Linked DNA regions of Elephas maximus indicus. The protein of the gene in region 3 interacts with the protein of the main gene of each other region in a pairwise test. Links are inferred from orthologs where the notes say so. Each region holds a gene or a part of one and is shown on either strand. Other genes may lie near its edges.

Region 1 (6,882 bases), on a different chromosome or scaffold from region 3:
TTGATCTTTGTAACCACCACACAGTTGGAACGGTGATCTTGCTTTCAGGGAGGACTAACTAAACCAATCTTTTGCCACTGAGTCCATTCCGACTCATAGCAACCCTACAGGAGAAAGTAGAACTGCCCCATAGGGTTTCCAAGGCTGTGCATCTTTACGGAAGCAGACTGCCATCTTTCTCCCACAGAGCCACTGGTGGGTTCAAACGACAGGCCTTTCAGTTAGCAGCTGAACTCTTAACCACTGCACCACCAGGGAGAAGGGCACAGGTTAGAAAAGCCAGGTAATGAAAATGATAGTTAAAATGTTGACTGAGGGCTTACTGTGTGTCAGGTCCTATTCTTGGTACCGTACGTTATTTGACTTCTAAAATTTTTAATTAGTTAATATTAAATTAATATTAATTGTTAGATTATTAATAAAGTTAATAATGAAATATTAAATTAGTTAATATTAAAGTGCTTAGTACAGCGATCTTAATAACTTCATATATACTCTGTAAATGTTTGACCCATAAATTACAAAAGTACTGAGGTGGTTACTGTTATGATCATCCCATGTTAAAGAAGTTCAGAGAGGTTAAGCCACTAGACCAAGGTCGCACAGCAGGAAAGAGCCAGGGCCTGGATTTAAACTCCAGAACCCACACTCTCGCCCCTCTACTAAATTGTTGGGAAATGTCACCTCCCCCCACCCCAGGAAACCCTGGTGGCATAGCAGTTAAGTGCTACGGCTGCTAACCAAAACGTTGGCAGTTCAAATCCACCAGGCACTCCTTGGAAACTTTATGGGGCAGTTCTACTCTGTCCTACAGGGTCACTATGAGTTGGAATTGACTCGACGACAGCAAGTCTCTCTCTCCCTCTCCCCCCAAGAAATCCCAGGCAGAGTTGGGGCTGGAATCTGGGCACCAACATGATATCTAGACCCAAAGGGGCAACCCTCTCTCCCACCAACTTTGCCATCATATCTCATGTCTCCTGAAGCCTCTCACCTCCAATCTGGGGGGCTCGAATCCTCACAGCGCTGATGCTACCTCTCAACCGGTGCTGAATTCCCTGGGGGAAAGTGAGGAGGGGGGGAATCAGGGCAGGGGTAAGGCCACTGGCAGATAGGATTTCTGGCTTTTAAAGGAGGAATGGGGATGGGAGACCCGTTATGGGTATCAGGGCAGAGATATGGAGCAGCCAAGAACTAGGAGGCTGGGGAACACCCCAACATGACTGCTTTCAGAGCTGGGTTGAGAAATTCTAATTCATTCATTCATTCATGCAATAAATGATTATCGAGCACCTACTATGTGCCAGGCACCATGCTATATGCAGGGATACAACAGTGAGCAAGGGAGACCTGGTCCCTGCCCTTTCAAAGTTCATGTTATAGTGGAATAGTCAATATTGAGTAAGGATACAAACCAATAAACAAAACAGTTCCAGACGGCAATAAGCACTCTAGAGGGAACAGGATGAAGATAGATGATAGTGGCTCAGTGGTCACAAAAAGCCTCTTTAAGGAGGGGGCATTTGTGCTTGACCTTGCTGATGAGAAGGAAACTTGGGCAAAGATCTGGGAAAGTGTTCCAGACTAAGGTGACAGCAAGTTCAAAGGCTGTGAGGCAGGCATGAGACTGGGGTGTTGGAGGAAGAGCAAGGAGGTCACAGAGGGTGAAGCAGAGTGGGCAAGGAGGAGAGTGGTAGAAGATGGGCTATGAAAGGTAGGCAGTTAGATTTGTAAGGCATGGTAAGGAGTTTAGCTTTTAAGAGTAACAGGAAGCTATTAGAGAATTATAAGGTGGGACGAGGATCTAATTTCCCTTTTTAAGGGACCCTTCTGGCTGATGTGTTAAGGACAGGTTCTAAGGGGGTAAAGGCAGAAGCTGAGAGATGAGTGAGAAGGCTACAGCAATCATGGGGACTCAGGCCAGAATGGTGGCAGCAGAGGTGGTGAGAAGTTGCTGATTTGGGAATACATGTTTTGGAGGCTGACTACACAGGTTTTGCTTATGGATTAGATGCATGATGGGCTGTGAGGGAAAAAGAGGCGTCAAGAATGACTCCAAGGTTTTTGGCCTAAACAACTAGAAAGAGGGAATTATAATTCCCCGAGATGATGTTGACGGATGAGATTAGGTCTGGGAAGGAATCGGGAGCTCAGTTTTGACTTGTTGAGTTTAAGATTAGTGATCTAAGTAGCAATGTCAAGCAGGCAGTTGGGTATGTGGGTCTAGAGTTGAGGGGAGAGACAGAGCTAGATACATAAATTGCACAGACCTTGGCAAATGGATAGCATTTAAAGCCGTGACATTTGATTAGATCTCCTGGGGTCGGGGGTTGTTGTCAGGGAAAGAAGGTAATTGACTGTGTTAAAAAGATTTTCTCAACTTTGGCGCTGTCCTTCGCTCTGTCAGTTAAACTTCTATCACCTTCCCCTAGCCAGGCTTCTGACGTAGAATCTCCCTCCACGTAAAATTTGTCTGGCTTTGTACACACATCTAGGATTTGATGATGACTGTTTTGACAAGACAACATTTCCACAGAGGAGCCCCAGTTGGGGGTATGGGGGACAGAGGCCACATCTGCAGTTCCCCCAAGACCCTATATCTGGAAGCCAGGCCTGGCACATAATAGGTGAGCAGGTATCAGGATGAAAAAGTGCATGTGACTAGCAGCTACATGCAGTTTTCCGAGCAGTATCCATGTGGGCTGGTGAGCCAACCCCCACACCACCCAGGCAAGGCCAGGGCTTACAACAGGGGCATTGCGGAAGCCTTTGATGGCCTGGAAGACTCCACCACCGATGACACCCATGGTGAAGGCTCCACCGCAATCATCCACAATGCGCCATGGGCTGCAAGAGGGAAAGGGAGGAAGAGGTTAACGTGAGCCCTCCCCTATGCCCTAACGCAGAGACTCTTGCCAACGTCTTTCTTCGCCCTACCTGCCCCCTTCCTTCCTTCCTCTTAAGGAATCAGTCAATTGCTTTACCAAAAATGAAATGATACATGCAAAGATTTGGGACATTTAAATATGTGCTATAGGAGTGTTGGCTAGCTAGTACTGTTATTAAAGCAGGTAAGTCGCACTCCCTTCTCCAACAATGGGCGTGTCCAATCGAGCCCCGCCCCCTTCCCCCCATTTAACCATTTAATCAAGCACGATTAGAAAAACCCAAGAGCAGACGGTGGGGAGGATCCAGCACTCCCTCCTTGCCAACAATAGGCTCATTCAGGCCCCGCCCTCCATTACCTAAAGAGACCTGGGGAAAACCACACGTGTAACCCTGCAGATTTCTGCTTGGTGTCGCACCACCACCCCCCCGCCCCGGCTGAATGGATTCGACCAGCGTGTCACTTTTCGTTAACAAAGAGGTGCTGGGAAATACAAAGTCAGGGGCAACGGGAAGTGGTTCGTCCTGTACCGCACGTCCTCCAGGCGCACAGTTGCTGCTCCTCTTAACCAAGTCTGGGTGGGCGGAACCAAGCGGGGAAGCGGAAAGAGATAAGTTTCTAAGTCTCCAGAGTCTGTGAGGTGGAGCTGCGTGGCCGGTGCCTCTCCCGCCCGCATCCCACGGTCGGCTACGGCCCCGCAGCAACAGTCCCTATGCCTGTGCCCATCACCATACCAAGGCTCCCGAGCGTACTCCTCCATGGCGCCGGCGTTCGGCCGCGCAGTCAGGCCAGATCCGGCCGAGCCACGCCCCCAGTGCAAACGCACACAGGCGCGCGAGCTTTCCACCTATTCCAAGACAAGAGTTGAGTCGCTTCACCACACGTAAGTCCAAAGGCACACTCTCATTGGCCACCTCGGTTGCGTCATCTGTTCTCCGCAGCCTCCGAGCGTCTCCCAGTTACTTAAAGGCTCGGGGAGAAAAGGCCTCCGTCTGTGCTTTGGGAGGAGCTAGTCGCGTGGTTCCGGTGATCATAGCGGCGGCGAGAGGGAGGCGGCCTGTCTGACAGCCTTCCACTGCCCGCGAGACTGTATTGGTAACACCAGGGTGGACGCATTCTTTTGGAGCTGGAGGAGGTTCTGCACTTTGATCCCCCATTTCAGCGCTTTGGTTCCTCCCACCCGGCAGTCTTTGGGGGACGTTGGGTGAGCCCATTTCTGGGGCGCGGGGGAGACACGCTTGACTCCTTTGGCGCTGGGCGGAGCCTGGGCCTGGAAGAGGAACTAGGGACGCGAGCACTAGAGGGTGGATGAGAGTTTGGTGATATTGCCACTTATCTCCTCCACCTTTTAGCGCGTAGGTTTCGTCTGCCCAACTACTGCAGATGGGGAGGTGGGGGTCAGATGAGTATATGCTTGGGGGGAGGCGCTTGGTTACAGGGTCTGGATTCTAATTCTCATCTGATCTGATTTTTAGTCCGTCTGCCTCTAGGTTCGTCTGCTACCCGCTATGCCATTGCCCGTGGCGCTGCAGACCCGCTTGGCCAAGAGAGGCATCCTCAAACATCTGGAGCCTGGTGAGAGCTAAGAGCAGATGAGCCCACCATGTGCCAAGCTTGACAGGCACTTTGTTGTTGATATTGACACTCGATACCTAGTATGAGCCTACTGTGAGCCAAGCAGTGGGATGAAAGGCGTTTTATTGTTAATAATATGGATTCCTGACATCCACTCCTACTATGTGCCAAGGGGGATAGATATTTTAGCCGCCTTAATAATAGTGACAGCTGATGCCTGTTTTGGTTTATTGCATTCCAGGTTCCATGGGGTGATAACAAAGTATCTAATAGTAAGGATAACTGACATCTCCTGCAGTCTCCTGTGTGCCAAATACAGTGTTGATGTTGATACTTTGTTGTTCACAATACTGATAGGTAACATGAACTTCAGGCCTACTGTTGTGCCAGCCACTATACTGATAATATATACCTGTATTATTCACCTTATCAGTAAGTAACATGTATTTTGGGCCTAAGGAGCCCTGGTGGTACAGTGGTTAAGAGCTTGGCAGCTAACCAAAAGGTCAACAGTTCTAATCCACCAGCTGCTCTTTGGAAACCCCATGGGGCAGTTCTGCTCTGTCCTGTAGGGTCGCTATGAATCGGACTCCACTTGATGGCAGTGGGTTTTTTGGGTTTAAGTGCCTGGTGGAGCCCTCGTGGCACAGTGGTTAAGTACTTTGCTGCTAATTGAAAGGTCGGTGGTTCGAATCCACCAGCTGCTCCTTGGGAGAAAGATGTGGCAGTCTGCTTCCATAAAGATTTACAGCCCTGGAAACCCTATGGGGCAGTTCTTCCTTGTCCTGTAGGGTTGCTATGAGTTGGAATCCACTCGATGGCAATGGGTTTGTTTATTTTGTTTTGTTTTGTAAGTGCCTGGCATACACATTACTGTTCACAGTATAAAATAAGGGATAGCAAGAATCTTATCATTTAGGCCTACTGTGCTGCTGCTGTTAATATTTATACTTTATTGTTAATAATATTGAAAGCTGGCATTAATTTTGGCCTACGGTGTGCCAGGCACTGAAAAATACTTCTTATTGCTCATCATATTGAAATTTACATTAACTATAGGTCTACTCTGTGCCAGGCATAGACCTTATGGTTAATAATACTGATAATGATCCTTGATATAATTTTAAGCATATTGAGAATCAGGTCTTGTCCTGATGACATACATCTGAATAACAATACTAATGACAAGAGCTGACAACTATTTTGGACATACTATTTGACAGGTGCTATGCTCTTGCTGACATATACATTTCATTGTTAATTATATCCATAGCTGAAATCTGTTATAGGCCTATTGAGGGCCAGGCACTGAGCTGATAGTATACACCCTTTTTATTCTATTAACTGACATCTATTGCAGGCCTATGTGTCAGGCCCTTTGCCAATACTACACCTTGCCACTCAGGAACTGAATGGCTTCAGAACAATGTTTGGATAAATCCCTTGCTATTCAAGATACAGGGATCAAAAATCCTGTATTTGCCAAGCTTGAGAGCTGAAGAGATTTTCAGAAAAACCCCTTGCTGTCGAACTCATTTTATTCAAATAGATTTGGATAACACAGCGTCACATACTATCTGAACTCAGGCACTGAATAGATATGGATAAGTTTTTTTGATGAATCCCTGTCCAAATTCAGAAATCAGATAGGTTCAGAGAACAGTATGACTTACCATTGGAACCCAGAAACAATAGATTTGGATATTTTTTTTTGATATTCAGATATTTGAATTTTGCAAGCAGTATTTTTATCTGCTTCCTGGCATACACATGGGCATGTGCCTTCCGTGTGTGGTTTGTGACTGGCCAAGTGCATAAATGTGAGCATATGTGTCCCTCCAGGCCTTGAGACAGGATGAGAATTCCCCTTAACTGTTACCCCCCACCTTGTCCTGCTAGAGCCAGAGGAAGAGATCATTGCTGAGGACTATGATGATGATCCTGTGGACTATGAGGCCACCCGGCTGGAAGGCCTGCCACCAAGCTGGTACAAGGTGTTTGACCCTTCCTGGTGAGTCTGGGGACCTGGGGGGGGGGTAAGGGGGAATAACTTGTACCCTTACCCTTCCTGTGCTATCCTTGGCCTTGGGGTTTATAGGAGACACAAGGGACGAGATCTGGGGGTCCTCCTTGTGGAGTCCTGACAGGGGCAGGTATGGGCAGAGATTGGGGAGACAAAGGAGAGGACATCTGTACTGACACTCTTCCCCTCCCTCCCTCCCTTGCTCCTATTGCCCCACAGCGGGCTCCCTTACTACTGGAATGTGGACACAGACCTCGTGTCCTGGCTCTCCCCACATGACCCCAACTCTGTCGTTACCAAGTCTGCCAAGAAGCTCAGGAGCAGTAATGTAGGTGAGTTGGCAGATCCAAGGGTGCCTGGAGCAATTCTAGCAGTTTTCAGAAAGGGGTCAGGTAAA
Region 2 (7,220 bases), on a different chromosome or scaffold from region 3:
AGGTCAGAGGCCAGGCCAAGGGCCTGAGGTCTGAGCGCCAAAAGAGAAAGCCTATCCTGAGGGGGCCAAGAAAAGCTTGCCTTCAGGGGGCTGAGATGAGCCCGGCATGGCTGAGAGTAACTGAGAGAACTGTCTTGCCCTGAAGAAGGGAGAATTTGCCTACGTGCTCTCTGTTCTTGATCCTGAGTTGTAACCTGTTGATCCTGATTCCAAGTGGTAACCTGTTACTACCCTAATAAACACCATAAACAATTGTTATCTGTGAGTTCTGTGTGCCATTGCAACAAATTATTGAACCCAGCAAAGAAGTAGAGAGTTCTGTGGGAGGGATGGCTAATGTCAGAATTGGTAGAAGTTTGGAGAGTGGAGGCATGTTTGACTTCCATCTCATATTAATCAACCTTGGGCTGTTGAGCCTGATAATGATTCTCCTCCCCGCTCATGAAGTTAGAGGACCTCTGACTTCCACAAGCCCTTTTTACAATTAGAAAATCAATCAACGTAATACACCACAGCAGTAGAACAAAAGAGACACATAATCATCTCTATGAATGCAGAAAAGGCATTTGATAAAATCCAATGGGTATTCTTGATGAAAACCCTCAAGAAGATTCAAATAGAAGGGAAATTCCTCAATATGATTCAGGGCATATATGAATTCCAAGGGACAACATCATACTTAATGGAAAAGGACTGAGAGTTTTATCCTTGGAATCAGGAACAAAACAAGGTGCCTGCTCTCATCATTTCTATTCAATATTGTATTAGAAGTCTTAGCCAGAGCACACAGACACATAGACCAATGCAATAGAATTGAGAGTTCAGAAATAAACCCACACATCTATGGTCAACTGATTTTTGACAAGGGTGCTAAGTCCTTTCAACGGGGAAAGTAGAGTCTCTTCAATAAATGGTGCTGGGAAAACTGGGTTTCCACACGCAGAAAAAAGAAACAAGAACCATGCCTCACGCTGTACACAAAAATTCAAAATGGATTAAGGACCTAAATATGCAAAGTGAAACCTTAAAATCCTTAGGAAAAAAAGCAGGGGCAATGCTGTCAGGCCTAGCTTTTAACAATGGATTTTCTGATACAGTAACAAAAGCAAAAGACAAAATAAATAAATGGGACCTCAAAAATTAAAAACTTTTGTTCAGCAAAAGGCTTTACTAAAAAAGTGAAAAGATAAGCTACCAACTGGGAGAATATTTTTGGAAACCATATACCAACAAGAACCTAATAACCAAAAAATACATAAAACTTCGACAACAACAAAAACACAACTCAATCATAAAATGGGCAAAGGGCAAAGTGGGCAAAGGAGTTGAATAGACATCTCAGCAAATGGCCACCAAACACATGAAAAGATGCTCAACGTCATTAGCCATCAGACAGACGCAAATTAAAACCACAGTGAAGTACCATTTCACTTCCACTAGGGTGGCTAAGATAAAAATAAAAAACATAAAATAATAAATGTTGGTGAGGATGTGGGAGATTGGAATCATTGCTAGTGGGAATGCAAAATGATATAGCCACTGTAGAAAACAGACGGCTTCTCAAAAAACTAAAACTGGAACAACCGTAAAACGAACCAAACCTGTTGCCATCGAGTAGATTCGATTCGTAGTCAACCCTATGGGACAGAGTAGAACTGCCCCAGAGGGTTTCCAAGGAGCAGCTGATGGATTTGAACTGCCGACCTTTTGGTTAGCAGCTGTAGCTCTTAACCACTATGCCACCAGAGTTTCCAAACTACCGTATGACCCAGCAATTCCACTCTTAGCTATATACCCGAAAGATTTTAAAGCAGAGACTCTACAACAATGTTCATTGCAGCACTGTTCACAATAGCCAAAAAGTGGAAACAAAACAAAACAAAAGGTGGAAAATAGCCCCTGATGTCTTAAAACCAAACAATCGTTTAGCTTGACTAGTAAAGAATGTCTGCCTTGAGCATTATGCTCTTTTAAGATCTATGTAAAAAAAAAAAAATCTATGTACACGGGATCAAATTGACAACAGTAACTTGAAAAATTAAATGGGAATCTTGGGGAGCAATGACAGTACGTTAATGGGGGGAACAACACAGAAAAGGAGGTGAGAATAGCTGCACAACTTGAAGAATGTAATCAATGTCAATGAAACATGTCAAAATTACTTGAATTGGTGTATGTTTTTGATGTGTATGATCTCAACAACAAAGATAAAATAAAGTACTTAAAAAAACAAAAAACCCCTTTCCTCGCCAGAGTAGTCCGAGCTCCAAGCATTGCAGATAAGAGGGGTCTTGTGTCAGTCATTGCACCTGCTTAATGACTGGCACCTCACTCAGGGACAGTCTTTCACACCGGCAGTGTGTTCTCCTCCACCACGGGATTTTCCTTTCCTCTTTGGGCAGGTTCTTTGGGCAGGGTCACTATAGGACCACTGACTAGGCAGAGGCATAGACGGGAGGTGGCAAGAAGAGTGGGAGCCAGTGGCACAAATTTAGATCTGAGGCCTTTAAGCAAAATGCTCAGAAAGAATCATCCTATCCAGTGTTAAATACCAAATGAGTCAGTCTCTGGGCAGTTGCCACCCTCCCCCTCCAAAGTCCCTGGCAAAGCAGGAAGGCTGTCTCACTGACTCCTACGAGGACCTCGAACTCAGAGCCACCCTGTGGCCCGGTTCTAGTCCCCAGTCCCAGGGTGACTTCAATGCTTATCCACATTTTACTCATTACTTTTAGAGGAGGGGGTCAGGGATGGGGTTAGCGCTCCCTCCCTCCCCCAAGGGAATGGTGGTCCTCAGTCCTTTCTTTGGCCATTGCTTTTGGATTTAAGGAGATGCTCACCCTTAGACCTTGGAGACATGGATGCCCTTTCCTGCCCCACCCTCCCCCTATGCTTCCTCTCCACGCTCCTGGTACTTGCCCTCTAAGAAGAAGTACGTTGAGAGGACATTTCCAAAGGAAAACCAGGTCTGAGAAGAGAACACTGCCTACACAGCTCAATGCTTGTTAGCACAAAGCCACTTGCATATTCGTGTCAGTGTCATGTGGCTCAGCCCATACATTGGCAGGTGAGTTTGTGGTTCTAGCCAGGTGAGTCAGCAGAGATGGAACATTCATTTATTTGAGCAAACATTAAATGTTAGTTCTCCTGAAAAGAAGCCCAGCATGCAGCCATAGGTCCTGGGTGGAGGTGGAGGTGGGGGCTGAGGTGCTGCTAGAAGTTGGAAAGAAGGCAAGGCGAGAGGAAGAACTGATGGAAGGCAGGGAAGAGGGAGTATTCCCCAACTTTCAAGGTGGCAAGTGGGACCTCCTGCCCATGGAGACACTGGCTGAGGAAAGGGAGGCGGGCCTAGGCTGATGGAGGAGCAAAGCAGAGATGGGACACGAGGTCGATTCCAGAGGCTTGATTTTATTGTGCAGTTTTCTTTTTCCTCAATGAGATGCCATAAGCTGTGGTGGCACTACACACAGTCACAGGACAGGACAGGGCTGCTGGTGGGGAGCTGGGGGTTAGGAAAAGCCACCTCACCTCCCAAGGCGTGTCCCACCCATGGGTCTCACTCCATGGCCTGCCTCTGGCCCCCAGAGGTCCCTGAAAAGCCAGGCCTGTGGGGCAGGGGGCTGTCTGAGGGGCTCAGGCACCAGCTAGCAGGGGCTGGCACTGATGAGGGAGGGAGAAAAGAACCTCCTGAAGAAACACTTGGGCCAGACTCTGGGGGGCTCTGGGACTCCAGCCAGCCCGACTCCTTGGGTCCAGGTCAGAGTTCTGGATGCTCTTAGGGAGGGGCTTGTTTTCCTCTGCCACCTTCTCTACTGCTGGTCAGGACAGTAGGCTCACATTTCTGGCTTCCTTAGGTAGGGAGGGATGACATGCCCTCGCCTCTTACCCCTTCAGCCAGCCCCTCATCAGCATTGCTCCCATCGCGATCTGCTTTCTAACTGAACTATGCCCCTGGCCCCAGGCCTCTGGGGGATTTCTACGGGGTCTTAAAGAGGGGATTTTTTTTTTTTTGCTTTGGTTGAGGATGCTTTGGAAGATGCTCTGTTCTCTCACGTGATGGCCACAAATGCTTGGGGGGGTCCTTACCTCTGGGATCTTCAGGTGCCATCCCTGCCTGCTGAGGGATGGTCTCAGCATAGACCACACGGGTACCAGCCCCAGACACCCCATCCCCTCCTCACCCAGGTCTCTCCACGGCCTCTGGTCCCCACTGGGCAAGGATGGTCCCCCAGGGATTGGTTATTTTTCTATCCCCCCTGCCCCATCCTCTCACTCTCCATTAGTTCCCCAACCCTGGCTTCCCTTTTCACGAACTCCAGAAGAAAAGGAAGGATAAACTCTAAATAAACCAGACAGAAGCAGCTCTGGAACAAAGAGTACAAAAGACAGCCAGTGGTGTGCAGAGAGGGTGTGAGGGGCTGTGGGGGTCGGGTGGCAGTGGGAGTGGGTAAATAATGGCATGCAGCACTGGGGTTCCTTATGAGAGGTGGGGTCCCTATTCCTCCCCGAGGTGTGTGAGGGACTGGGAGGAGGGGGTCAGCCGACTCAGAGAACTTGGGTCTCTGGACCAGGTCTTGTGGCTTCCTGTATCCTCTGTGGGCACAACCCGTCACAGGGAGATGAAATCCATGGCCTGGAGGAGAGGCAGGGAGAGCAGGAGCAGCAGCAGCCATGAAGTATTCTGGACCAGCAGGCTTATGCCCTCACACTTGACCAGTTTGTCTGTGGAGAGAGAATTGGGTAGGAGACAGGACAGGAAAGAAGAGAGACCAGCATTTAGGTAGGGACAGGCACAAAGTAAGGTGCATTGCCTTGGTATCAAGATGATCATGGGACCAAGTATCAACAGGACCAATCATCCTTCCTTCGAACACACATCAACTTATAAATCCTTCCTAGACATGGTCACAAGAAGACTGTGGGGAAGTAGGTATTATGGTCCCTATTTCCCTGAAGGGGAGGAAGGGGATTGGGGAGGCTAAGTGACTTTCCTAGAGTCATGATGGAAGTGTCTACAACACCACTCTGTCTCTCTGACTGGCACCTTAGCTCCTCAGACCCCCATTCACGCTGAAGGCAGTGGTTCCCCAGGGGACCAGGCAGCAGTTGGAGGACGTCAGGGGAGTGGGACCCCTCTCCCTCTAGTCCAGCCAGGACTGCCTGCTGCCCTCACCAGTCTGCCCCTCCCTAGCCTGTCTCCTCCAGCTCAGTGGGTTTTGCTGGGTACTTGCCATACCTCTGAAGACTGAGATGTTCTTGTTGGAGATGCTGAGAGGCTGGCCAGAGAGGCGGAGCTCACATGTATAGGTGCCCTCATCCTTGTTGGTGAAGCCATTTAAGTAGAGGACCTTAATGTCATACTTGCTAGTGAGGTTGGTCCGGGTGCGATATGAGTGCTCAGGCACTCCCAAAGTGCCTTCGATCACGTGTTTCTTGGTCTCGCGGGTCACGCTGAACTCATACAGGATGGGCAAGGTGGTGGTGTTCTCATGGCGGCAGTCCAGGCGCAGGCTCTGGTTCACCAGGCAGGCTGTCAGGCTTGTCACCTTCTGCCCCCAGGCCACCTGAAAGACTGGCACCAGCAGTGCCCCCTCCGAGTTAGGAAGAGCCTGTGGAGCAGGGGGTCTCCTAACCACATTAAGAGCAGAGATGGGGCCTAGTCAGGGGGGTCACAGGGGTCTGCTCTCTGAGCCCTTCTCCCACCCCAGGGGTCCCCAAGGGTCAGTCCAACTTCCCCACTGAAGACCCTAGCCTCGCTCCCTAGCCTGCTTGAGTCCTGGGTCCCACTAGCATGTTCCAAGGGCAGGAAGTCTTGGGAGTAGATCCAGGTTCCTGGATCCCATTTGGAGATTCTAATTCAATGGCAGGAGCCCTGGTAGTGCTGTGGTTTAGAGCTCAGGCTGCTAACCAAAAGGTCGGCAGTTGGAATCCACCAGCTGCTCCTTGGAAACCTTGCGGGGCAGTTCTACTATGTTCTCTAGGGTTGCTATGAGTTGGAATAGACTCGTGGGCAATATGTATATATTTTTTAATCCAGTGGCTGGGGTGGGCCTGAGGGAGTTGTGTTTCCAAAAACCACCCAAGGCACTCAGATCAGCTAGGTTTGGGGAAATTGCTGACTTAAGGACGAAAAAGAGCCCTCTATACCTCAATCCCCTCCACTGTCTGTAAGGAAGAAGCTAGCTTCTCTGAGGAGGAGCAAGCCAGTGTGGCTGGACTCCCAGCCTTAGCCTTACACAGTACCTGTCAGCAGGAGAGCGATGCAGATGGCGGGGTTCATGGTGCCTGGAGCTCAGCCCTGGATCTGGGGTGGGGACAGGACGGGAATCAGCAAGAGATGGGGCAAGTGTCCCACATTTACTGCCAAGCCTGGGGCCCCTGGGGGATATGCCATAATGTCCATGGGTGGGGCATCCAAGCCCCCTCTACATCCCTCGTTGAATGTGACACTGTCACCGGATTGTGGGGAAACGGCAGGCAGATGGGGGAGGTGGAGAGGGAGAATACCTCCTATAAGGGCCTGTGTCTATACCTGGCCATGAGCCCCTACTAGCTGGGTGATTTAGAATAAGAAACTTTATCTTTACAACCCCCAACCCCCTTCAGAAATGTCCTACCTATGAGGGCAGGGACTTCTTAGTTCTTGTTCAGAAAAAAAAAAAAAAATCCCCAATGCCCAGAACAGTTCCTGGCATATAGTAGGTGCTCAAAAGATAATGAATGAATGGCTCTGAGCCTTAGGTACTCAAAGGGTTATGATCGGGATTAAGAAAGACGAGAAACATCTGGAACTATACCTGCTCCAAGGTAAGTGGCCCCACCAAGGTTAATTTCCTTCCTTCTAGAAGACAACATGGCTAGGGATGATGCCAGGTATGCGTGGGTTTAGGTGCTCCCAGATAATCCTGCACTTGGCACAGAGCTGGAGGTGTTCCTGGGTGTGTGTGAGGGAAGTGAGAGTGCTCTTGGACTGCATATGAACCAAGGATGCTTCCAAATACTCAGCTTTCTGGGATTCCTGGGGCTGCAGTTTTCCAGCCTCTCTTCAGTGGCCTCCCTGCCTAGGCGCTCTGTCTTGTCGTTTTTGCAGCCTAGGTTATACCAACATCCCAGCGAGGTGACACAGAGCAATAACCTAGCCGTCCGCATTGCTGCTCGCAGGGCAGAGGCCGCAGGAGGGGTGTGCGCCTGCGAGTACACGCAAGGCCCTGGCCTGGTGCTTG
Region 3 (7,330 bases):
GCGGCCCCGCCCCCGGGCGCGGACACGCGCAAGAACCTTCACGTCACGCGTGTCCGGCGCACGCGGGACCTGCACGGCGGGAGCCAGGCTCTCTCCCACCGAGGACTAGTGTCTGTGGGCTCGGGGGCTCAGGACTCGGCGGCAGCGGGTCACCCTCTCCCCCTCAACCAGGGCCCCGGGCCCGGCGGCAGCTGGTCATTGTTTGAGCACAAAGGGCCCGGCGCGGCGGCGGCTGCCCCTCCCCCTCCGCTTCGCTAGTCGGAGCCTCTCCCCAAGACACACTCTCCAGCTTTAGAGTCCATACGGGGAGGCCTAGGGTCAGATGCCCCCTTCCCGGTCTGCCGGGGTCCTGCACCCCAGCACAAGTCTGGGGGCGAGGCTCGGCCGGTGCCTGCCCCACCCGCAGTGGGTCGCCGGCGGCACACTTGGATTTGCGGAGGCGGCGCCACCTGGCGTCCAGTTTGGAGAAGACACCCAGCCACACATTCCCTCCCTTCCCTTCATGGGAGTCCCTATCCCACTCCCCACTCCTCGCGAGCCTAGGTCTGTCCCTGGCACGGCTCCATTCTCCTCAAGCTTCCTTCGGAACTCTTTGCAAAGACGCTTGGACAGAGGCGGCCCCTGGCCCCCCAACAATCACTGGGGTGAACCGGTCCAAACCTACAGTCCAAACCTACACCAGCCTCACGGCAAACAACATTCTACTCCCTTTCCCAGGGTCACAAAAATCCTCAGCCTCTCGCAAACAAACAGTCTTCTTAACACCTACACGGTCTTCCCCACATTCAGTCTCACACATCCACAATCTCACACGGTCTCATCCATCGCATGGTCCCATGTTCCTTCTTCTCATATCTTTGAGGCCAATTCACGCAGATGCACACTGTCACACGCCTTGTTTTGCAGTCTTTCACATCCAGTCAAAATCTTAAATAAATACACTTAGTCTCCTAACGATCTTTCAGACATTGACAGTCTTATTCACAGTTGCTCACAGACAACTTTTTACACATACACATTATGTTTTACAAACATATTCCTCCACACAGATTTTCCCTCAAGGGTCTCTATGACCTGGTCAGGTCAGCTGATGCTGGCACCCCTGGGCAAGGACGGCCTCCCTGTCCCCCAGGGCCAAGGCCTGCCAGAGCTCGGCTCCGCCCCAGGAAAGAGCATCCCCCCTTCCAGGCCACAGCCCTGGCCGGCTCTCAGCTCTATTTTTAGCTCTATGGAAAGGGTTGTTTTTCTTTTTCCCTGGAAAGGGAATCACAGCCCAGCTACCCTCAGGCTCATCCCAGACCCTTTGCCTCACAAGAACAGCCTGAGGCCCCCTCCCCAGAAGAGACCCCCTTGTCTGGCCTTTTCCTGATCCCAGCCTCCAGGGACACCAAGTGCCTCCACCCCTTCCCGGCAGTCTGCCCAGAAGCTCAAGCAGCAGCTGGGCTCAGCATGTGTGTAGGGGGGCGGCGTGGGGGCGGAGAGGGAGACAGAGGACCGCTGCCCACCACCCTCGGGGAGAGCTTGGACTCCTTTCTGCTAGAGGGGGTAGGCCCAGTCGGTATGAAGGGCTGTTTATACTCATGCGCTCTCTGGCGGGGGTGGGGGGGCTTCCACTCTTGCATGGGTGGGATTTCTGTTCCTCCATTCGGGGGAGGAACTCCCAGTCTTGTCAGAGGGGATGGGGTGGTAGGAAGGGGATCCACAGACACTCAAGCAGCTGCTCCCTGGGATGGGAGTACCGGGCGGTAGGGGGCAGCTGTCCATTGCTACCAAGGAGAGTACCCCCTCATACCTTCAGGGATGGGAACACTACGAATATGTTCAGGGGAGGAAGGGCGAGGAGCCCAGTTAATCCCACCCCCGCCCAACAGTCTCCAATTCGGTGCCACCCCGGCTCTAGGGGGCGTTGTGCTCCCATTTCTGGGGGAGGGCTTATCACCGCTCGAAGGTCGAGGCGTAGAATGGAATACTGCCCATTGTGGAACCGTGTAAGCTCGCCCGGGCCTGGGGAGGGGGTCCCTGCAAGTGGCAGGAGTCGGGGGAGTACAGCCACAAGGCTATGGCACAATCACGTGCTCGGCGCCTGTTTACGTCTCAGTCTTCACCTGGCTGCGGTGGGGAAGCTGGAACCTCCCGATGCGTCCCACCCGGTCCGCCCCCGTCGGCGCTCACCGGGCTGCCCCTCTCCCCCGCCCCTACCAAGTACGCGACAGGAGAGTGCCCTGCCCGGGGGGGGGGGTCCTCGCGGGCCGGTGGCGCTGTCCCTGAGACTGCAAGGGTAACCCACTGGGCACCTCCTTTTCTGAATGCACGTGTGTTCGTGTCCCACGTGCGTGCGTGTCTCTGTAGCACGCGTGTGAGCCCCTCAGTGCAAGTTTCTGTCTCGCCTCCTTGTGCAGAGTTCCTTGCCTGTCCCCCATGGAGTGGGGACCTCCCTCTTCACCCCAGCCCTCAGCTTTCCGGGACGGGGAAAGTTCGCTCCGGAGCAGGAATGTGCTGGAGGCGGGAGTTCCTACACCTCCGCAGTCCCGCCACTCACCCAGCACCACCTGCACCGCGCTCCAGCTCCAGTCCGGTGCCTGCTCCAGCGGGGGAACCTCTGCGCGGCAGATCTGCCGGCTTCCAAGCCCGCTCAGGGCTCCGGGAGCCCGCCTGGCCCGGCCTGGTGAAGCGGGGCGGGGCGGCTGAGGCCGCGCCCCCGACCCAGGGAGGGGAGTGGTCTGCCCGGCACCCCCTCAAGAGCCAACCCAGTACCCAGCAGAAGCTGGACAGTGGCCCGAGGCTGCTCCTCTGGCCTCTGACTTCACCAGCTTCCTGAACTTGGCTTTCAACCTAGGGAAGGGGCGAGCAGCACGTGACCGAGAGCTAAGCTACTGGCCGCCTAACTAAGCTGGCTATAGGGCTTGACGGGGCCACCTTCCCTGCTCCATAGGGAGCCCAATCTGGTCCACTCCCAGCCCACTTCCCAAACAGGGAAAATCCCTGGGGAACAGACAAAGAAGTCTCGGGTTTCACCAAAACAGCCCTCCCCCCACTTCATCTTGGGGCTGCCCAAGCAGAACCAGCGCCACCCTCTTGACTGGAGTAGGTGTCAGCCCAGGTGAGGAGGCCTGCCAGTTCTGGCTCCCATGGGGCATGGCCAAGCTTCCCTTAGACTCATAAAGTCCCACCCACATGCACAAACAGGAAGTTGGCCTGTATTGCAGGGAGGCACCCAGGACTTCCTCCCCCCATGGCACCCAAAGCAGCCTGTGTCTGCAGGTATCTGGGCCATATTTGCAGCCTGAGTACTTGAGCTGTAGGAGACTCCAGTGAGTTTCCTATTTTCTCAAACCCATCCACAGTAGTCGGGAAGCTGCTGGAAGGCCAAAGCTGCCCCCTCACCCTGGAGACCCTTCCTCTCATCAAGTATGAGGCACAGTGTCAATCTGAGGACAGGACCTCACTTGACCAGGTTCTCTCTGAGCTCTCAGGGAGATTCTTACATCTAGCTGGAGGGAGGCAGAGCTGGTTCTATCCCAGGTAATGTCCACTTTGGCTGGGTACGTGGACAGCGGGCCTCCAGGGACCTTAAATAGGGCCCGGGGGTCTCCACTGCTTTCTACACTCCAGGAGCTCCTGTATCTACTTAGGGCCATATCTTGATATGGGGAGTTTAAGGCAGGTGTGGAGTGGAAGATGTTTGGGTAGGGGGTGGGGCTAGCAGTATTTATCTTCCCCTCCCCCTCATCATTCTGGTTTCTGCTGCGTGGGGGTGTCTGCTAGGAGGGTGAGGCAAGACAAACAGGCAAGTATGTATCCATCCCTGTATCCCCAATTCCCACAAAAACCTCAGAGGTTCCCAGGAGGGAACCTCTGAGGATTTCCTGAGAACAAATCCGGCTTCTAAGAGACCAGAATGTCAAGCCCACGTCCTCATAGGCAGGACTGACCTGGTGTTCTGAGTCTGGAAGGCATGGCTGACATCCAATGTTATAGATCCTGGATGAGGCCTAGACCAGCCAGCGGCTGGGAATGATTACTGCGGGATTAGGGAGGCCTGGCTCCAGCCAGTCTGGGAGACAGACACCCCCCCACCCCCTCAAAGAAAGGAGGCCCTGGAGGAGCTACCCTTTTCCATATTCTGTCCCACAGAGAACAGCTTTGGAGCAGCTTTGCTCCAGGTCTTCCCAGGAGACATTTGTGGTCACTGTTCCCATGCTCTGCAGACCAGACCCCATACCCTTCCACAGGGTCCCAGAAGCACCCCCTTAGGTCGACAGGGAGAACTTGACAAGGCAGCCCTGCTTCCAGGGAGCAGGAAAGCTTTCACCCTACCCTTACAAAGGGCTTCTCCCAGCATCTTCAGAACACCTTATGTTCTCACCACTGTTTCAAAAACGAATAGGCAAATCTAAAGGGAAGCTGGAACTTTAGGATAGCCGGGGAAATGAGGTGGGAAAGTGTCATCATTTAGGTACACTAGTTCTGACAGGGTCTGTGGATTGCCTACTTTACAACCTCCTGCACGGCTTGTTAAAAATGAGGACTCCTGTACCCCTCCCCAAACTCCAGAATTAGAAATGTATGTGTGGCAGGATGGGGGTGGGGAGCAGGGCCTAAGTTCTGCATTTTTAACAGGATCCCCAGGAGTCACGGTATGCACTAACACAAGGGAAACATCAAGAGAGAATATGCTGAGCAGAGCCCACATCGAGGGAGGCCACTGAGTGGCTCACATCAGAGGGACAGCTGGTCAGGCAGGGCCTGGGCATGTGGCCCAGTGATCCACAGCGCTGTCAGGAATCACATGGAGCTCAAGGAAGTTAAGGATAAGGATACCCAGAAGAGGCGGTGGTGGTGGTGCAAGGCAGGGGGGTAGGGGGAATGAACACCCTTCGGTGACCTAGCTCCCTTGGGAACCCTCAGCTCAAATGCTGGAAATGGTGAAGGGACCCATCCATCCCCAGAGTGAAAGGAGAGTCCAGTTATAGACTGGAGACACCTGGTGGACAAATTAAAAAAAGCACAGAAACAAAGGCAGTGGGATTTTTTTTTTTTTTAAGTAAAACTGGAAAAGGCTGTAAAAATTCATGGCTGTATCTACTCCAGAAACACTGCCTACTTGAGGCAGCAAACCCTGGAATCTATGTCCAGGGGGCACACACTCTGGGCTCACAGCTTCCTTCTGTGGCTGCTGCTAAGAAATCCAGGAGGAGGTGATTCCCAATTTTGGGGCCCTGATATTCCAGGGCCAAGCACCTAGGATGCCAATTCTAGCAAATGCCCTCTCGTGACAGGCTCCATAGAGTAGGGAGCAGAGGAACTGGCACCCACCATATCACCCCTTGGATCTGAAAACCTCGGCAGGAGTTTTGACAAGGAACCCCTCATTCCCCTCCAGGTTTAGAGGCATGACCTCGCTGTCTTAAACTTGATCATTCCCACCTCAGGGCCTCTGTACTTAACACTCGGGCTACTGGGATCTCATCTTCCTTCTGATGTTCACGTGGCTTGCTCCTTCTGGTCCGTTAGACCCCCGCTCAAATTTCTCTGCTCAGAATGCCTTTTCCCACCGTTTAAACTAGCCTGCAAGCACTATCACATTACTGCTGTGTTTTTAGCGCTTTTGACTATCTAAAATTATGTTTTCTGCTTATTTGTTCATTGCTTGCCTCATCTCCCCCACCAGAATGCAGGTCCCATGGAAGTGGGGACCACATCTGTCATGCTCATTGCTCTATCCTGAGGACCCAGAACAAAGCCTGGTACAGAGTAGGTTCTCAGATACCTGCTAATTCTCTCATTACGGAACACCACCTAGCCTAGGCCCCTCAGACTGAGAAGGGCCCACAGCTCAGCACCATAGTCAGTGGTCAGAAGCCAGGAGTCTTTGCCCCAACCTGTCCTGTCAGGCTCATTTCAATGTCCAGCTCTGCACTGCCCTCACCATGAAGGCTGGCAGGTGTCTGGCTGCTAGGGGTTGGGGATCTGGTCCAGGCACATCTCAGAGTTCTGAGGCACAGTCCCCTTTTTGCCAGAAGAGGACTTTTTGGCCACTAGTCCATTGTCGTCCTTGATCTTTTTGAGTCGAGTCTTGCTCTTTGGTGGGACGGAGAAGGTGAGGGAGCTCTTGTTGAACTCGAGCGGGAAGACACCTACATCTCCATCAAAGCGGTTCTTGGAGACCTGCAAATACCGTTTCCCTGGCCCAGTTACCAGTTTCCTGTCCTGTAGGATCAGAACGTTGTCTGCTTCCTGGCTTGCCTGGGAGTTGGGGGGCAGAAGGAGGAAGCCGGGCATGAGAAGACATATAAGAGAAGCAGAACGGAAGGCTGGGGGCACGGGGAGAAGTAGCAAGAATGGGAGAAGGGAAAAGTACCTCCCCCATCACCACAACTCTTTCAACTATTGACCATGATGCTGGGGCCACTTGAGTCTTTCATTTCCTTGATAATAAGCTCCTGCTGTCTTCAGACTTTGTGTATGCTGCTCCCTCTGCTTCTAACACTTCTCCACAGCTGGATATCCCATTCAACCCTAGCTTCTTCTCATCATTCCCAGTCTAAAAGTCACACTTCACCAGCGAGACCATTCTTGACCACTCTAAATAAAGGAAGCACCATCTTTCCACTTCCACATTATTCTCTTCCCCAGCTCCTTGTTCCATGATGGCACATAGTTTGTGCTCCTCACCCTGTATTCCCTGTGCCCAGCCCAGACTTGGCATGTAATAAGCACTCATTGTACACCTGAAAGCTTCAGGATCTGGTTGGTCTTGCTGCCCTGAAGTCCCTCCCATTTATTTACCTAACCTATTTTCTGTCAAAACTCAACCCAACCTTTGTTGACATCTCCTCTGGGAAGTCTCCTCAGATGTCCTAGGCTGACTCAGAGCTTTTCTCTTTGCTCCCCAAATACCTGTGCTGCCAATTGCAGCTTTTATCATTCTGAGTTGTAATTACTATCTTGTTTCCTCACTAAAGGAAGACAAAGAGGGCAAAGGACCAACTATTATCAGTCCATGTATTCCTAGCATATATATTCTTCATGTCATGGCCCCAGAGGCAGCTGCCTCCTGCCTCCCCAGAAGGACAGCCAAGGAAATGATTTAAGCCTGAATGAGGGCTGTCCCTGGTCACATCTGCCCGCTTTACTCCCCAAAGCTTGGGCTCCTCCAAAGGCCACTCACTTTGGCTGAGCCAAAAATGGATGCTGTTTGCAGTTCCTTGTCATCATCCTCCTTACGGGGGTGAATGACCAGTGTCACATGGCAGCTATTGTCTGTAGCAAACTTCCGGAAGGCCCCAACGATGTAGTCTTGAGCTGCAATCCTGCCCCAGCCCAACAA
Region 4 (7,677 bases), on a different chromosome or scaffold from region 3:
ATCTGATGTTTATGTACAGCTGCTCCTTCGTAACTGGGCATAGGCTCCCACTCTTGTTTGTGTGGCTCAGCCCTGCCTCCTGACCTGCATCATGGGACCTCAAGGGTAAGAACCACATCCTTGATTCCTGCAGTAGCCCCAGTACCAGAACAAGCCCCGAGCTCCTGGCATCTCCAGAAAAGGCTGCTGGAGACCCTCCTCCCCCTTGAATAGCGTCATGGCCCCTCCAATGGCACTCAGGCTTTTCTTATGGGGTGATACCCTTGTTTCAGATGAAATTTGGGGCCAAACTCTGTGTATAAAACAGATAACCAAGGGTGTGCACTGCTTAGTACAGCCTTCCTGGCCCCTCTTGGCCCTCTCTCCTCATCCTTGAGGCTTCAAAAACATTTCCGAGAATCCCAGGGCTCCATGGGGTTCAAGGAAAACCAGCAATCTAGCCCAAACCTTTGGTTTTACATACAGGAAAAAGGAAACTGAGAGAATAGAAGGACTCGTCCATAGTTTCACAGTTAACTAGAGGCCAAAACCAGGACTGGAATTCAGGGCTCCAAGGAGCTCTGGTGGTGCAAAAGGTAAGGACTGGGCTGCTAACTGAAAGGTTGGAGGTTCAAACCCAACCAGCAGCTTCATGGGAGAAAGACCTGGTGATCTGCTCCTGTAAAGATTACAGCTGAGAAAACCCTGTGGGGCAGTTCTACCCTGTCACATGGAGTCGCTGAGTGGATGTTGACTCAGTGGCACCCAGCAACAACAAAACCCAGCCTGAGGCTCTGTACTCTCTTGGTTGCAATGGATGAGATGGCTGCCACTGTTCCAAGGAGTCCCCCTGCGGATGGATTCTGTATCCCTGCCACCTCTCTATCCTCCAGTAAGAAGTTTCAGGCCAGGCAGTGGTGGGGGAGGGCTCGGAACATCTGCCTGAGCCAAATGGGGCTTCGGAGAAGAATCTGGGAGTCCGTTCCCATCTCTTACTCAACCCACCCTGCCCACGGGGTGTGGCAAGGAGTACAGGGGAAAGAATATCAACAAGCTCCTGGTCAGGAAGGCTAGGCAGCGGTGGGGGTGCTACCCCACCCTGAGAGTGCAGAAGTTTTTGAGGAAAGTCCGGTCCCCTACATCCATTGCCAGTGGGGTTCACCTCAGGGGAGGCTCCCCACAGCAGGGACCTGCAGAGCTGTGGGTGAGAGCGGGCCCAGCACCTGTGGGGCAAGGGGCAGAAGCCATAGCTGAGTCCTCAGCCCTGAACACCTCACAAGCCTCCACACGCCCTTGCTCATCCCCATCTCAGCTCAAGCATAATCACGTACACAGAGCTCATGCAATCGCACTTATGTATTGTATACACGAATATACGCAAACATCCAAATAGGCACATAAACACTCACACAAATATATGTACATCCTCCCCACACACAGACTCCAGCCCTCATTGATAATGTCCACCTACAGGCACAGTCACGTCCATATGCAGCCACATACACAAAACCCACAGGGCCGCGCTGAGAGAAGGCTGAAGGAGTGCATGGGGGCGTCAGGAGACACTGGGGCATCAGACAGACAACAAGAAGGTGCAGTACTGCAAATGCAAACCCCGAAACCAGCCAAAAGGGGCCAAAAATTCCTCCTCACATTATCTTCCCTCACCCATGACCTATTCCCTGTGGGCCAGGCCTGCTCAGGTGGGCAAATTCTCTCTCCCTTAAAACAACAAAGAAACACCCCAGACTGACACAGAGCCCAGGACTGAGTGCTACATCATTGAGTCTTATTCTCTGATCTGACTGAATTTATCCTATGACCTTGGTCAAGCCCCCAACCTCTTCCCAGCCCCTACTTGCTCATCTAGGAAATGGTCCTGTCTCCTAAGGCCTTAGGGAGCCACCTCTGATGCCCAGCGGGAGGTGTGAACGGGAAGGAAAGATTTCCTAAAGGAGCCAGGGGCAGTGGAGACTCAAGTCCAAACGCTAAGAACCCGGAGGAGAAGGTCAGGGCTGAGGGACCGGGAGGCAGGAGGGGGCTCCGCACCCCCGTGGAGGCCTGGAGGGGCCCACAAGTTACCTCCTTCTCGGCCTTGGCCTCCTCCACGGTCACAGTGCTGTGATTCTTGTGCTCCTGGAACATGCAGAGGTAGCAGATGCAGGTCTGGTCGGTCTGGCAGAAGAGCTCCATGGTCTTCCCATGCAGAGGGCACTTGCGGGCCTCAAAGTCCCGGATGGGCTCCAGCAGCTGGTGGTCGCGGAAGGCGGCACCCTCCAGGTGAGGCTTGAGGTGGAGCTCGCAAAAGGAGGCCTGGCACACCAGGCAAGACTTGACAGCCTTCTGCTTGTTGCCGATGCACGAGTCGCACAGGACCTCCTCGGAGCCGGACTTGGGCCGCAGGAGGATGCTGGTGTCGGCCCGAGGGTAGCTGTTCGGCCGCGCCTCCCCCGGCTCCAGGATGGACACCGTGGGCTTCCGGGCCTCCGAGAAGATGGACTTGCGCAACTCCCCCTTGTCGGCGAAGGCGACCGGCGGCTTCTTGGTGACCCCCAGCTGGAGCCCTGCGTAGGGGGACCGCCTGCCTTCCGCGGAGTCCATGCTGAAGTAGTTGGAGCCCTTGTCGTCCACGGACTCAACAAACTGGATGATGGGTCGCCGCCACTCGTTCCCCAAGAACAGGGAGCTTTTCCCCTCTCCGGACTTCAGGGAGCTGCCCAGGCTCTTGCCCTCGCCTGCCTCCCCACCATGCCCATTGGTGGTCTTGGCGTCCTTGGCTTCCCCCTTGGTCCCGCTCTCCAGGCCACCGCTGAGGCCTGGGGGGCCGCGGGCATCCTTGGCTTCTAGACCCATCCCGTTGCTCCTGGAGGCGTCAGCGGCTTCCATGGCACGTCACTGGGCTGTCTGTTTCGGGCTTGCTGGGGCTCCAGGTGGGTGACCTGTTTGGCGCGTGTCTCGGCGGGGAGTGGGGCAGGCAGCCACAGAGCAGAGAGGCACAGCTATAGCGACAGGGAGGAGCAGCAGTCGGGTGGGCGGAGCAGCAGGGGCAGGCCTGATAGAAGGGGCAGGGGGCTGGGGAGAAGCAGGCGGCTCCTGGAGCCAGCAGAGCGGCTCATTACCCAGGGGCCCACGCCCTACACATTCATACCTAACCTGATTGTTTAAAGAAGTGTTTTTTCTTCCCGTTTAATTATTTTCCACAACCCAGCAACCAGTCAAGCTGCTTCCGTCTGAAGTGCTGGCTCCTTATCCGGGAAGTGGGGGAGTCTCCATCCTTATAGGGGGGCTGGCTTCTCCGGGCTGAGGGGCTCCCGAGGCAGACCTGAGGTGTCCACAGAGGCCCATGGGACAGATGGGCTATTAATTGAGTCGCACAAGCCAAATCGCCTTGTAATTTTCGAGCCTGGATTTCGGAGATTCCCCACCCTGGGTGGTGGAGTTGCCTATCACCTTAAGGGGAGTGACGGGTTCAATTTGGCTTTGGAGTGAAGTGGTTGCTGATTATTGAACCTTGTTCTCGGTACTTTATATATATGAGCTCATTTGATTCTCACTACAATCTTTTCAATTATTCCTATTTAATAGACAAGAAAATGGAGGTTCTAAGAAAATACTCACTGTCCTAAGTCAAGTGGTAGAGCTGAGATTTGAACCCCGAGGCCCTTAAGATTCCAAAGTCCCTTCTTCAGGGGACCAATGGGCCAGGGGGTCATGGAGTGACCTGAGTATCTTGCCAAGAGATGGCTTTTGAAAGTCATTCCTATCCCAGCCACTCCCACAAGAGGCACACAGACTTTAGGTTGTTTCTGTAAGGGCAGGTCAGGACCTGCTTGGATCCAAAGACAGGGAAACCATGATAAGGGGACTTTCAAGCAATGAGAGGCCAGGTGGTTTGGTCCTCAGAGTCCAAACACTTGACTCTCACCTGTCTCCACAGCAAGTTCGCTGTATGACTCAGAAAAAAATATGCTCACCCTCTCTGGGCCACAGGTTGTTTTTGTTGTTAGCTGCCGTCGTTTCAGCCCCTGACGCACGGCAACCCCGTGCACAATGGAACAAAATGCTGCCCGGTGCCGCGCCATCCCCATGATCGGTTGTGGATGGGGCTGTTGTGACCCACAGGGTTTCACTGGCTGAATTTCGGAAGTAAATCCCCAAGCCTTTCTTCCCAGTCTGTCTTAGTCTGGAAGCTCCACTAAAACCTGTCCAGCACCATAGCCACAGGCAAGCCTCCGGCGACAGATGGGTGGTGGCTGGCCGCACAGGAGTTGCATTGGCCGGAAGTTGAACTGGGGTGTCTCTCATGGAAGGTGAGAATTCTGCCACTGAACCACCAATTCCCCTTCTAGGCTACAGGCAGCAGCCGCTGAAAGGAAGGCAGAGAAGTATGGGACCCAGAACACCTCACAAGTGAACTGCTCAGATGTGACTATTGTGTAAATACAGAACCCTGGGGAAAAAGAGGAGAAAAACTGCTCTAGGCCCTTTCTTTCCCCAACCCCCTGTACGAACACTGGGCACAGTCCTCTCAGCTCCTGCCAGGCTGTGCCATCAGGTCATCTCTGGGGCACTACACGCTGCTGTGGTCCCTGGAAGCCCACATCGGCCCCCAACCCATCCCCAAGTTAAAGGGCTGTGCCTTTCCCAGGCCGGACTGAACAGGGCAGAGCAAAAGGTAGGTGTGGCTGGTGTGGCAGGTTCTGGGCTCTGTGTAGGGGAGTGGGTTTCCCTGCCTTCCCCTCGAATCCAGGCCAAGCTCTGGCAGCCCTACCCCTTTGGCTCACCAGGCTGAACAGCTAATCCTTTTGCAATAACAGCCCTTGGGAAAAGGGCAGAGCCAAGCATGGTTCACAAAGCAGCCAGAAGTTTTAAGAGGAGGTATGTGGGGGTGGTGTTTGGGTGGGAGCGATGGCTTCATGATGCGGATTTTCCTCTTACCTGACAGCTCTGTTCTCAGGCCCCATGGGAGCCCCTTCTTGTTTGAATTCACTGATGAGTTGGTTAAAAGCTCATGGAAACTTCTGGGATACAGAACCCCTTCTCAAAAAGCCAGGCCAGAAGGGAGAGGTAGAGAGAGAGAGAAGTATTGTCCTGGTCTGCTGGATGAGGAGGCTATTCCCATCGATCTTCTCCAGATAGAACATAGCCTGTGAGAATAGATTTTGAGGGGAAAAGAAGGAACAAAAGAGGAGAACCGAAGGGTTTTGGTAATGGATCCAATATTAATGCTCCCTGAACCTGGGATGCTGCACTGGGAGGCCTCTGCATGTCCTTAGGGTTCATGACAGGAATCTGGGGAAAGATTCTGAGTCTTAGGAATAGACTGCTCAGAAAATATTTGTGATGGATGGATGGATGGATGGATGGATGGATGGATGGATGGATGGATGGATGGGTGGGTGGGTGGGTGGGTGGGTGCGTGGTATAAGAGTGGAAAATAGGTAAATGGATGGATAATAGATGTGAATAATGAATGGATAGATGGATGATAGATACACAGTTATAGAATTGGATAAACATGAAGGAGGGAGGAAGGAAGATTAAGTGAGAGAGAGAGGGAAGGAAAAAAAGGAAGGGGGATGAACAGGCAGTAGATGAATGAGTGGATTGCAGTGGTGTGCTGGCAAAAGTTTAAAAACTAGCTCTTCCAGGGAGAAAAATGCTTGCCAATTTCCCTGGTGTAAATACTCCAGGAAATTTCAAGCTACAAATGTGAGGCGTACAAGGAAGGTATGTACACAATGGGCTCTCCGAAGACAGTGGGAGCTGGCTCCAGCACACCACTGGAGGAATGGTGAATTGTTGAGGCAGATAGATAATAGGAGGGAGGATACAAATAATTGCTGGAGAATACCACCCACAGTTATCCTGAGAAGGGCAACAGGCACAAATGATTTCAAAGCAAATATGAAGACAAGGCTAATTTATCTCTTCCATTAGGTTTCCCCTGGGCCCCAAGCCCACAGGGATAGCTCCCTTCTCTGGACCCCTATAATATTTACCGTCTGTCCTACTCAGAGGAGCCCTGGTGGCACAGTGATTAAGAGCTTGGCTGTTAACCAAAATGTTGGTTGCTCAAATCCACCAGCCGCTCCTTGGAAACCCTGCGAGGCAGTTCTACTCTGTCCAATGGGGTCGCCATGAATCAGAATCGACTCAATGGCAATGGGTTTTTTGGGTGGTGCTACTCAGAAGGCATTTAGCTCAGACCACCTGATGTTAATTGTTCATTCACACGTGTTTACTGAGCATCCTATTATGTGCCAGGCACTAAGCCCGGGACTGATCACACAGACATGAATAAGTCCCAAGTCTGGCCCTTGAGGAGCTCACAGTCCAGCAAGTAAATGAATTTGGTGTAAACAGTACATATAGTACGTGTGAGGAGGTGGGGCAGCTCAGAGAAGGGTACATCCAGGACCTCCCGACAGAGAGGCCTGTCTCTCCAACCAGGCTGGGTGCTGCTCACTTTCCATGCACCCAAGCATCCTCCCCTGGCCGTGCGGAAAATGTGGTTTTGATTTGATTCAACAGATATTTGTTAAGTTGAATTCTTAGCCAATGCTGGTTGACTGGTCTTTCGGACCTTCTGTGCCGGGCCCACAGCCCCTCCCTCTCTTGGGAGTTGCTCCCTCCAAAAACTTGGTGGAAGGTAGGCTGGACTGGGGTCCCTCAGCTCCAAAGGAAGGAAAGGATTTCTCTGGGGAACAAACCAAAGAAACAATTCTCCTTCCAGGGCTGACCTAGCCCTCCCAACACTACTGCCATTCCCACCAGCATTCCTGGAGCTGGACTGTAGAGGTAAGGGTTTTCATCTGTTGAGTACTGAGGTCTAGGGTGGATGCTGAGGACTACCCAAGGGACGGTCATGCTCCCAGAGCTCCCCCCATGCCCACACTACACATTGGCCATTTGTGTCCACCAAGGGAGCTGGTACACCCAGCCCCAACTGCTGGGGTCCTGTCCTCTTCACCCCCAAATCCAATTGCAAAGATTCCCCAGGCGGGCATTTCCTGACAGCCTATGTGCCACTTGCAACCTGGCCAAAAGACCCAAAAGGCCATCATACCCCATCCACCACTGTGGCTGAGGGAAGGCCTCCATGCAGAGGGAATGCTTCATTTTTAAAGGCCTGGAAAGAAAGGGGTTCCATGAATCCCCTCAGTCACTCATGTCCCATCTTATCCTGTTCTTCCTTTGGTCTAGCTTAAAGCGTTCCTGCTGCGACATTTCTCCCTATACCAAGGGATGGTGGAATTTGACTGGCTACCAACCTCTACCCTGTCCTTTGCAGGGTTCAGGAGGTAAGAAGAGCCAGTAGGTGTGGCTTCCAGAGAAGGATTCTTAGAGAACAAGGAGAATTCTTCCCCTCCCCTTTGGTTCCCTCAGACCCGCAATGCCCTGCCAGCGAACCCCTCCCCCCACCCCCTAGTTTCTTCCTTCCCAGCCAACCCCAAGCCTCCTCCCAAGCTTCTATCTTGAGGCATCTCAAAGCATTTCCCCTCCTGGGAGCCTCCCTTGATTCAGTGGGTGGAGCAGCCTCACCCACCCACTGCTATGGCCTGGTGACACCTGATTCCATCACCCCAGATGAAAGAGGAAACCCCTTAAAAGGAGAAAACTCCCCCAGCTTCCTTGGAATCCCAGGGCTGGAAGGGAGAGGCCAGCTGGTCCATGCCCCTGCCTCTGGGCAAGACT

What was found.
Region 1: the proteins of LZTS2 (region 3) and PQBP1 interact in binary tests that used the Homo sapiens proteins (3 or more experiments, as listed by UniProt). The two-hybrid records come from large-scale screens. The link is inferred for Elephas maximus indicus from reciprocal best matches to the Homo sapiens genes LZTS2 and PQBP1.
Region 2: the proteins of LZTS2 (region 3) and USP2 interact in binary tests that used the Homo sapiens proteins (3 or more experiments, as listed by UniProt). The two-hybrid records come from large-scale screens. The link is inferred for Elephas maximus indicus from reciprocal best matches to the Homo sapiens genes LZTS2 and USP2.
Region 4: the proteins of LZTS2 (region 3) and TRIM29 interact in binary tests that used the Homo sapiens proteins (3 or more experiments, as listed by UniProt). The two-hybrid records come from large-scale screens. The link is inferred for Elephas maximus indicus from reciprocal best matches to the Homo sapiens genes LZTS2 and TRIM29.

The regions. Positions count from the first base shown.
Region 1 is NC_064846.1:122,724,109-122,730,990, reverse strand, and holds the start of PQBP1 (polyglutamine-binding protein 1), read left to right. Parts: upstream 1-3,879; 5' UTR 3,880-3,982; exon of another isoform or gene 3,983-4,091; intron 4,092-4,135; exon of another isoform or gene 4,136-4,242; intron 4,243-4,362; 5' UTR 4,363-4,395; coding exon 4,396-4,462; intron 4,463-6,361; coding exon 6,362-6,473; intron 6,474-6,704; coding exon 6,705-6,817; intron 6,818-6,882. Other genes in the region: TIMM17B (mitochondrial import inner membrane translocase subunit Tim17-B), read right to left, coding at 995-1,058, 2,748-2,847, 3,622-3,647. UniProt on the Homo sapiens protein: Intrinsically disordered protein that acts as a scaffold, and which is involved in different processes, such as pre-mRNA splicing, transcription regulation, innate immunity and neuron development.
Region 2 is NC_064835.1:11,873,598-11,880,817, forward strand, and holds the start of USP2 (ubiquitin carboxyl-terminal hydrolase 2), read right to left. Parts: upstream 3,021-7,220; 5' UTR 1-3,020. Other genes in the region: THY1 (thy-1 membrane glycoprotein), read right to left, coding at 4,607-4,719, 5,234-5,569, 6,241-6,277. UniProt on the Homo sapiens protein: Hydrolase that deubiquitinates polyubiquitinated target proteins such as MDM2, MDM4 and CCND1. Isoform 1 and isoform 4 possess both ubiquitin-specific peptidase and isopeptidase activities.
Region 3 is NC_064834.1:52,643,515-52,650,844, reverse strand, and holds the start of LZTS2 (leucine zipper putative tumor suppressor 2), read right to left. Parts: upstream 3,015-7,330; 5' UTR 2,540-3,014; intron 1-2,539. Other genes in the region: TWNK (twinkle mtDNA helicase), read right to left, coding at 5,956-6,246, 7,172-7,313. UniProt on the Homo sapiens protein: Negative regulator of katanin-mediated microtubule severing and release from the centrosome. Required for central spindle formation and the completion of cytokinesis.
Region 4 is NC_064835.1:12,727,044-12,734,720, forward strand, and holds the start of TRIM29 (tripartite motif-containing protein 29), read right to left. Parts: upstream 3,019-7,677; 5' UTR 2,866-3,018; coding exon 2,062-2,865; intron 1-2,061.